2 linked regions of the Arabidopsis thaliana genome follow. The protein of the gene in region 2 interacts with the protein of the main gene of each other region in a pairwise test. Each region holds a gene or a part of one and is shown on either strand. Other genes may lie near its edges.

Evidence for each region.
Region 1: the proteins of GRF2 (region 2) and GIF3 interact in binary tests that used the Arabidopsis thaliana proteins (3 or more experiments, as listed by UniProt).

Annotation. Positions count from the first base shown.
Region 1 is NC_003075.7:355,325-360,078, reverse strand, and holds GIF3 (GRF1-interacting factor 3), read right to left. Parts: upstream 2,735-4,754; 5' UTR 2,405-2,734; coding exon 2,321-2,404; intron 1,989-2,320; coding exon 1,912-1,988; intron 1,811-1,911; coding exon 1,702-1,810; intron 1,627-1,701; coding exon 1,353-1,626; coding exon of another isoform or gene 1,279-1,352; coding exon 1,151-1,278; 3' UTR 742-1,150; downstream 1-741. Other genes in the region: ATOZI1 (monopolar spindle protein (DUF1138)), read left to right, coding at 211-307, 386-531; AT4G00840 (DHHC-type zinc finger family protein), read left to right, coding at 2,974-3,162, 3,429-3,627, 3,723-3,814, 3,922-4,048, 4,163-4,248, 4,336-4,401, 4,480-4,596. UniProt on the Arabidopsis thaliana protein: Transcription coactivator that plays a role in the regulation of cell expansion in leaf and cotyledons tissues.
Region 2 is NC_003075.7:17,724,735-17,729,974, forward strand, and holds GRF2 (growth-regulating factor 2), read right to left. Parts: upstream 3,176-5,240; 5' UTR 2,876-3,175; coding exon 2,455-2,875; intron 2,363-2,454; coding exon 2,150-2,362; intron 1,846-2,149; coding exon 1,494-1,845; intron 1,421-1,493; coding exon 799-1,420; 3' UTR 603-798; downstream 1-602. UniProt on the Arabidopsis thaliana protein: Transcription activator that plays a role in the regulation of cell expansion in leaf and cotyledons tissues.

The sequences.
Region 1 (4,754 bases), about 17 Mb from region 2:
GTGTCTTCTATAATTGAATTGAATTGTTTGATTCAGCAGCTTAATTATCTAATGGTTTTATGTGATTGTATTGGCTTGATTAGGGTTGAATATGCCTTGAAACTTCATTTCAATCCCACTATACACTATAGCTATAATCTGATATAAGTTCGTTTTCTCCTTTTGTGTGGCTTGATTATGTTTGATATATCTATGTACTTCAGGTTAAGGATGTCGAGAGCTACATACATTATCGGTGCCCTTGCGGGATCTGCGGTAGTAGCTTACGTGTGTGACAAAGTTATTTCTGATGATAAGCTTTTTGGAGGCAAGTTTTAAACCTTATAAAGCTACTTATGATGTATCCAGAAAGCTAAATTTGGTTTGGTTTGTTTTGAACTCTCAGGTACTACACCAGGAACTATTACTAACAAGGAATGGGGTGCTGCGACTGAAGAGAGATTACAAGCATGGCCAAGAGTTGCTGGTCCTCCCGTCGTCATGAACCCTATCAGTCGCCAGAATTTCATCGTCAAGTCACGTCCTGAATAACTTTTGATGCCTTCTCGTGCATCGTTCTCATTCGTTATGGATTCATTTTCGAATATCTGCTCTTTTGTGTTTGATTTGAGGATCGGCTGATTGCTCTAGCTGGTTATAGTAATAATTTGTGTTGATGCGTAACACATTATTCGGATCAAGCTTTTCCCCGATGCATAACTTTTGTAAGGTTTGTTGATTTTGACGATAAATGAAATCGAGCCAAAAAGAAAAACTTCTAAGACATTATTGGTTTGTTTGGTTTGGAATTTTGTTATCGCTGATTCTGTAAACATTTTTAAAACTGTTACTTTTCATCTCAAGCCTTGGAATTAATTATCACACAAACCTGGAGGCAAACTATCAGGTAAACGTGATTCTAAACCCGGTTCATACACCAAATTGAACCGGTGACACTAATACCATACAACAACATTTAACATTGTACATGTGAATGTGAACCATTCCACATCCATCTAGGAACTGAAACTCAACTGTCTCAGAACCCTTTTAACAGAGACTAACTCATAAAATGACAAAACCTTTTTTTTATATCATCGTGAAGAAAGTAAAAATGAAAGGTAGAACCTAATTGATATCAACAAGAAGCATCACTTATTCTTCCTCTATTTCATTTTCCTTCAGTTTTTGCATCACCACCGCCATGTCTAGCGGCTGAGCCACCTTGCCCATCAGCTCCACTCTGGCTCATATTGGTCCCATCCGGTTTACCTCCTCCACTAGCATCGTTAGGACCCGCTTTTGGTAGAGAAAGAAGGTGAAAATCAGTAATGTGATAATAAGTTCCAAACTGCTGTAAAACCAAATATTACCATTGTTTGCGGCAAGAGCAGTTTCATGGTGGTGCATTTGATGTTGCAGTCCGTTGTTATTATTCAAACCCATTGGTCTAATCCCCATGTGCCCTTGCATAGCTTGTTGATGTAACTGTTGCTGCGGATCCAGAAACTGATGCGGGCTACCAAATTGCAATGGACCTCTAGGAGGGAAAATCCCAGGAGGTATTTGTTGAGCCATTCCCACAGCTTGATGTTGCTGCATGAAGTAGCTTGGTGGTGGCTGCATTGATGACGGATTAGGAGCCATCTACAGAAACCAAACACACACAAACTATAAGAACCAAAATGTTTTGTTTTTCAACTGATCAAAACAGAAACTTACTGCTTGGGGAGTCATGGCTCCTGATGTTAGTGTAGCTGCTGGTGGCTGAGGTTGAGCATCCGCAATTGCAGCGAGATACATCAAATTCTTCTGGAGAAGAGCTTGATACCTAAAAGAATCAAGCAAGAACCATGTTTTATTATTAATATTCTATTTACCATCAGTAAAGCTAACATAGCTCGGTCTTGGTATCGAGAATCCCACACTTACTGAGCACATTCTGCAAGTTTACCGAGGTTCTGATTTTCCAAGATCGCCATTATCAGCTTCTTGTTCTCATCAAGATACTGCAAGAAGCAGCAATAAGTGACTCACTGTGTCAACATGTCATCTTCACAATCTGATTTTAAGCTTTCAAATCTCATATGCATACAAATACTCTGTTTTCACTCAAAAAAAAACTCCAAACTCATGATTGTACATCCAATTCCAGTAACAAAAAAAAGTTAAAGCGGAAAACAATGACACTTTAAAACAAATCATACTCAAGAAGGAAAGTTCATTACAACAGTTTAAACTACTCAAAAACATCATTACACAACCAATTTCAAAGCTACGATAAACAGACATTATGACTAAACAACAGAAAGACAAAAAATATAGAAAGTAAAGTAGTAACCTTTTGGATCTGTTCGGTGGTGATATTATTGGTGGGCGGAAATGAAGGAAGAACCATCGGAATCATCTGTGGAGATTGCTGCATCTTTTATAATTCACCAATCAAAACTCTGAAACAGTGAAACCCTAAAGTTTCTTCTCACGATTATTACAAAACAATAATTCTGAGTGATAGAATTGGTTTAAGAGCCCAATGCAAAACAAACTGATGCAAAAATATTCAACAAACGAATATTTTGGATTATCCTTAAATTTAAGACTTTTGATTTGTTTGAATTTCGCCGACGAGGTTTCTGGGAAATCGTAGGACAAAAAAGTCCCCCAACCAATTAATTTGTCTCCCCCACCGAATGTACACGTGGCACCTTGTCTGATTTTTCGTCAGCTCTACGATAACCAAAAAAAGACAACATTTGTAGCTGTTATTATTTATTGGGCCTGTTAATGGGCCTTATAAAGAATTATGAAAGCTTCTGTGTCAAGAAGAAGGTTACTTTAAATCTGTATCAATATCAGCTCCACGACGGCGATTCGTCGTTGTCCTCCGAACCAAGCAAACTCCGATCCCTCACCGTGGCTCCGGATATTTTACGGCGGTTGTTCCCGGCTCGGACTCGAAGAATTGTCCGGATTCTCCCTTTGACCAGGCTGGAGATGAACCTTTTCCGGTTCTGCTCCGGTCTGAAAGTCCTCGGCTATTTCATGATCCTTCTTGTCGTCGCCGTCGTTGGTGTATCTTACTACGCCGTCGTAGTTAGCACATGGTGGCCGATCTTGATCCGCGGAGACCATGGAGCTTTATCCGCCCTCGCTGCCTTAATCATCTTTGTTTTCCATTTCCTGGTAATTTCCAAGTCTCATAATTTCAGATTAGGTTTTGTTTCTGGAATTGTAAGTCTAGGTTTTCTGCTACTTAACCCCTAAACCTTAAACTTAGGGATGTGGCATGAAACTTATGTAGCCAAGAGAATGAGAAATGCAATGTAGTTATGAAGCATGAAGCAGTGTAGATACATAATCATTGTTTAGACCATTGATTGTTAGTAAATGTTTAGGCTCCCTGAGTTTAGGTTTACAATTATACTTCTGATTTGCTTGGTTCTTTGCAGCTGATAATGCTGTTGTGGAGCTACTTCACAACAGTTTTTACAGACCCAGGTTCTGTTCCTGAGCATTTCAGAAGAGAAATGGGAGGTGGTGACAGTTTGGAGGCTGGTACTTCGACAGATCAAGGAGCTTTTGGCTCTTTAGGTTACTGTACCAAATGCCGGAATGTTAAGCCGCCTCGTTGCCATCATTGTTCTGTGTGTAAGGCGAAATCTGATTTGTTTATACTATGTTCTGCTTGTGTTTCTACTGATAGAGAAAGAAAGCTTTATTCGGTTCTTTGTTTCCTTATGTAGGTCAAAGATGTGTTCTTAAGATGGATCATCATTGTGTTTGGATTGTAAACTGTGTTGGAGCACGCAATTACAAGTTTTTCCTTCTCTTTCTGGTAAATATTCATTTCCATTGTAGTCTCTTATGGTTCTTAAAAGGTTTAAGCGAGCATTGGGATTATTTGATTTGCTGATTTCTTCACCCTCTTTTTTTAATTTGTAGTTCTATACTTTTCTTGAGACAATGTTGGATGTTATTGTCTTGCTTCCTAGTTTCATTGAATTCTTCAGCCAAGCTATAAAGCATTCTTCTTCTCCGGGTAAACTGGCCTCTCTCGTTCTGGCATTCGGTGAGTATAAACGGTTCTTTTTCTCGTTTTCCTTTTCCCAGAAAGTGCTTAGCTTTTTTCTGGGTCTCATTTTCCGTCTTTATGTTTCTTACAGATTCTATCCCCTTGATGCAGTTCTTAACTTTGCGTTCGTTCTCAGCCTTCTTTGTTTCGTAGTCATGCATATTTCTCTTCTCTCATCCAACACTACTTCAGTTGAGGTAAATCTTTTATGTTCTTGCTTTCACAAACAATCTAAGTCTTGAAAATATGAGTCTCTTCTCTGAATCATTGTCTTATTTTTTTAGGTTCATGAGAAAAATGGAGAAGTCAGATGGAAATATGACTTAGGAAAGAAGAAAAACTTCGAGCAGGTGAGATTTTATTGTTTTCATCATTCCATGGATTGTTAGTTAATTAAATATATAACTCTTTGTTTTCATCTTGTGAAGGTTTTTGGGAAGAAGAAGGCGTTTTGGCTCCTCCCATTGTACTCTAAAGACGATATCGATAACATAACTTCCCTTGAAGGCCTTGAATTTCCAACTTGTTCTGACATCGACCCTTGATTGAAAGTTGAAACAAAATCAATCAATCATATTCGAAACAGCCTTCAACTGCACTCCAATGTAGATAACTCTCTACTCAAAAAGAATTCTCATTGCCAATTGTTGTTGTATTATTGTAATTGATTTGATTCATTTCTTTGCTTCTTGTTGAAAGTCTA
Region 2 (5,240 bases):
GAAGAAAAAATATCGAAAAACTTAGAACAATAACCAAAAAAAAAAAGCAAAGCAAAAAAGAAACTCTCGCTATGTCTCTCTATCTCTCTATGTAAATGAAATGAAGGTTAGGAAGAGAAAATGATAGTTTTCTAATTTTCCTTTCCACTTTCTCGTTTTCTATATGTTGTGACTCCACTACACTAGAGAAGAAGGAAAACAAAACAGATTTTTATTTTGGTTTTCTTTTTCCCACTCTCGTGTATGAGATAAATAACTTAAAGAGTTATTAAATTAATACAACGATTTACATTATTACTTAGTGGAAACTGGAAAGGCTTTATGCGCATTGACATCATGCTACAACGCCCATAATTGTTGAAAAGATACACTGTATTTTAAAGTACTAAACCAAGCCTAATAAACCGGTTGCCACGATCCCAAATACTGTAATATCACTACATAATATATCTTAATCGTTAAAATGCCTATCTCGGCCCAAATAAAGTTTTGGAACATAAAGCCCAACAATAATTTAGGTCCTCAAGTCCATTTTTGTTACGACCCTAAAAGTTTTCCCTTGATGAAAGAGCAAAGATAAACCCTAGTTTGTAACTGAACAATTAGAATAAAGATTGTGATTATATGAAGTGATTATCAAACAAATGATTCAGAAATCGGAAACGAAGAAAGAATCAGAAGAACAACGATTTTCTAATTTCCTCTTTAAGCTTTAGAAAGACGAAACAGAACATAATGAAAGAGAAAAAACAGAGCTTTTCTTTTTTTGTTTCCTGCCGCAGGACTTGGTTTCAGTTTTCAGGTTGTGTAATGAAAGTAATCGCCATTGTGTCTGTTGTTCTCTGCAATGGGGCTGCTCACGGAGCTGTTGTTAGAGAGTGAACAAAATGTGGACTTTTGCAAAACCCCTGTAGGAGAAGATCCAAATGTTGGACTATTCGTTGTACTGTTTAGTACTTCACCTAGAGGACCTCCTAAGGAGTTTCCCCATGAGATTGGTATCCAAGTATTCACCTTTTTCACAGTAGGCTCGATTGTTGTTTCATCGGTTTGGATCGATAGGTCAAGCTCGCGGGATAGCCTGAGAGGCGAGAGTGTTGTTTTTTCTTGAGCATTGTTGTTGTTGTGTGTGGAGGAAGGGGATGATGATGCTATTGGAATTGACATTGAGAGCTGTGTCCAATCTGATGTCAGCTCTTCAGGCCAAGAATTGTGATTGTGATTCCCTGAATGCTTCTCTTGGTTGCTGCTGAAATCCAAGAACGATGATCCATAGGTCTTTGCGGTATTCGGGTTGAGTAACGAATCAGAGGATATGTGTCCAAACTCAAAAGGGTTGTTGTTGTTTCTGTGTTTCTGATGAATAACCGGAGATTCCTTGGGTTGTAAGTTGACGGTGGAAGGATATATCGAAACTCCTCTGTTTTGCAAGAGTCAGTAAGTGAGATATGAACTAACAATGAATATGCAGAGTATTAAAAATCTGTTTTCACCTGTTGTTAGGTAAAGATTCTGTAGAAGGATTGATATATTGACTTCCAATGGCGAGGCTGCGGTTGCTTGATGCACGGGCATTGCTTCTGTTAGTATTACCAGCGACAACAGGCTGTTGTGGTGTAGTAACCGCTTTGGATGCAGCAGCGGCGGTTTGGTTTTGGCCAGATTGGACTTCCACAGGCTTTCTTGAACGATGACGGCCTCTGTTGATGTGTCTTTCACAGTATTTCTGATCAGGAACGGCGTCTCTTGAGCACCGCCATTTCTTCCCATCTGTTCTGCGGCATCTCCCTGGCTCAGGGTCCATGTTACCGCCTGCGAAACCGAGATGGAAAGTTCCCCATCCGACTACACAAAACCGAACATAAACACTCATTAACCATTTATAACAAAATTCCCTATGAAAAATCCTAAAAGCAACCATTGTTGTAAAGACTTTTCAACCAACAAGACAAATCTTGAAAACCCTATGAGCAATGTTATGAAGGATTTAGCACCAAAATGACATAAAAGACTAGATAAAATCTGATTCTTGGATTAAGCAACCACACCACAAATGAGTTGATCAAAACCCCAAAACTTTCACAAACAAGTGATCGCTCAATGGAAAGTTATGTGCAACTAGAAATTGTGTTAAAGAGATGGAGCTTACAGGAACTAGGAGGCAAAGATCCGTAAGGATAAAAAGACTTCTTGATAGAGATGAGCAAACTAGAAGGAACAGGGACATTGGCTGTGATGTACTTATAGATCAACGCCTGTTGCTCTAACTCAGCCCATTGAGTCAATGTAAAAGGTCCTTTAACACCTGTGAAGTTCCCTTGCATGCTCATGTTCATCATCATTCCACCAGAACCATATCCTCCTGCATTCCACAGCAAAAATGTAAAAAATTTGATTATTTTACACAACCCATTTCACCAAAATCCAATCAATAAAGAGAAGACATTATCAAACCTGAGCTTCTAAAGTAAGAAGGTGGAGGAATCTGGTGAAGAAACGGCGAGAGAGAGTTCTTGTTATTACTGCTATTATCCAAACCGACATATTTACTGAAATCAAGAGCGTCTGGTTTATCTGAGAAGCTAAGCATTTGTTCTTGACGGCGAGAATCAGAGGAAAGAGGAGAAGCAGATCTCATGAGAGGAATGCCTTGGTGAAACGACATCGTTTTGCAATAAGCAGCTGCAACAGAAGAAGACAAGTTTTCTTCTTCTTCCGCTCTAGTTGTCGTTCTTGCTAGCTTCAAGCTTCGTTGCAAGCAATCCTCACCGATGAATCCGGATCTATCTTGTTTAGTTCCTATAAGCTCTTTTAGACCAAGTGACTCATTTTCATTACTAGTAACCGACCCAAGAACATGAACACCAATATCCATAAGAAGTAAGTAATATAAAAAGAAAAAGAAGGAAAAAAAGTTAGATAATGACTTGAGAGATAGTTGCCATGGGAGGAAGATAGCTAAAGATGAGAGAAGAGAGAGACAGAGGGAGAAGAACGAGGCTTACTTTTGATTTTCTTGAAAGAGATATATATTATTATGTGTTTTTAAAATAAAATGAAAATAGTTGTGGTGAAGCTTTGGGAGGAGACAAGAATGGTACCTAAAAACACAATCCGGATCTCGGACATGTTAGAACATATTTATCCAATGCTTTTTCATTAATTTTGCTTTTAGTTCTTCTTCTTTGTTTTGTAAAGTTTTCTTTGCTTGCTTTAAAGGTACAAACTTAGCTTCCAATTTGTTTCAAGTTGTGTAAATTTATGGTCCCAAATTAGTTGTATAATATGGTGGTAGTTTCTCTATAAGAAAACGTAGGCTATTTCTGTATTATTTGCAGTACATATTTCCCAATTTGTAGGCATTTTTCTTTATGGGGGTTATTATTTTAGATTTTAGTAATTTTCTTTTGTTGTGATATATGTGCATATAGGGAAAGCTAGCTGTAACATTGTTAAAAAAAAGGGAGAAACTAGCTGTAACCTGTGGAGTTATTAGATTATTTTTGTAATGTTCAAAAGGAAAAATATTAGTGGTTTTAGAAATATAGCAACATTTTTACTTATAGTAATAGTCTTAATTCATAGAGGAGGTGAATATATATTGATATATTTTGTAATTTGTAATGCCTGTTTTTACCAGAATTTGCAGAAGAAAACAAAGGGTATACTTGAAGTGAGATTTTTGGAATATTATACTATATACACATATATTCACACTTTTAGTGAGATTTTTAGTCTAGGAAACAAATAAAAGAATTGTCCTATTCATATAATAAATAATAGTATTGAGTGGAGTACCAAATATTTATCAAGATTCACGTGGTTCCAATGATATTTTTGGACCATCTTCTTGGTCGTCTCCCCGAGGATTTAAGTTACATATATCGGATGGGCCAATTCTATTCTTGAGTGATATTACATCAACGGTTATTGATCCATGTGTTCGATTACATATGTAATCAGTGCAAGTAAAAAGTAGTTTGGGATATAACTTTGCTGGATTTTTTTTTTTTTTCTTTTTTTTTCTTCACTGGATTTATTTTCTTTGTTCATTAAAATTGCTGGACTGATGCGGTTAGTAAGCGTTATTTGCTTTGACCATAAATTTAGTGACACTCCGATTTCAGTTATGCCTTCGGGTAATAATTTGCGAATTGTCTTTTATTTATCATAAAATTAATCTGATGGTTGGATCATTGGTATGTCATATAATAGAAACAGTAAAACCAATGAACAACAAAAGGATTAGATAATCTTTTTTTCACAATATAGTATGAACTTATGTGAATGATATATACAGACGTCGTACTCATGATTTTAACTTGAAAACCATTCAATATCATTCACTTCCAAACTTTGCTATTGAACTGTCCATCACAGTTTCTTTATAATTTTTGTATAATGTTGAAATATGAAAAAAAAAAAAAAAAAAAAAAACACTAAAACTATATCAGCAAATTGACTAGCTTGTGGAGCAAAGTGAATATAATAACAATGGAAAAAGATAAGAGTGTTACTACCAATACCATCCAACAAGAAACGTATATGTTAGTTAAAGCTTTGCGTAAATGTCCTAAAAAGAAACTAACTCACAAAAAGTCACATGTGGTGTTCATGCATCGATGATGTAAATAATTACCACTCCACATAATATTATGTAGTTAAATACGACATTTTGGTTTAATTTCATAATTACGTCAGATCTGATTTTCTTTTAGTCATGCTCCATTTTGTTCGTATTATTTTTTTCTCTTGTAACTTTAGGATTCGTAATATTATTGACGAGAGATTAAGTTATAGCAAGTTTTAACTTTTAAAGATTTTACTGTTTTGCAAAATCAATGGTTGATAGAAAACCCAAAGAAGTTAGCCAATGTACTAGCTAATAACATTGTTTTACATTAATTTTTGCGGGCTACCTTTTGTACGTTTCTTAGTCCCCTCTCTCTCGCATAGGTTTCGACCTATATCCCCTGCTTACAAAACCAATGACAATAAACAAAATCAAAGATAATAAAACCAATTATCTATGCAACCAAGGCATTTTTGGGAAAGGGATGCAGACTTTAAAATATCCGAATATTTTACACTTCTAGATAGTCTACAAATAAACAACGGTAAAATTATACGAAATTGTATATCTATACTATGTTTCATGGATCATAACATATGAAAATGTAGATGTGTTGTACATAGTTTACATTCTTTAGATATGATTTGTGTGATAACCAGTAACAGTA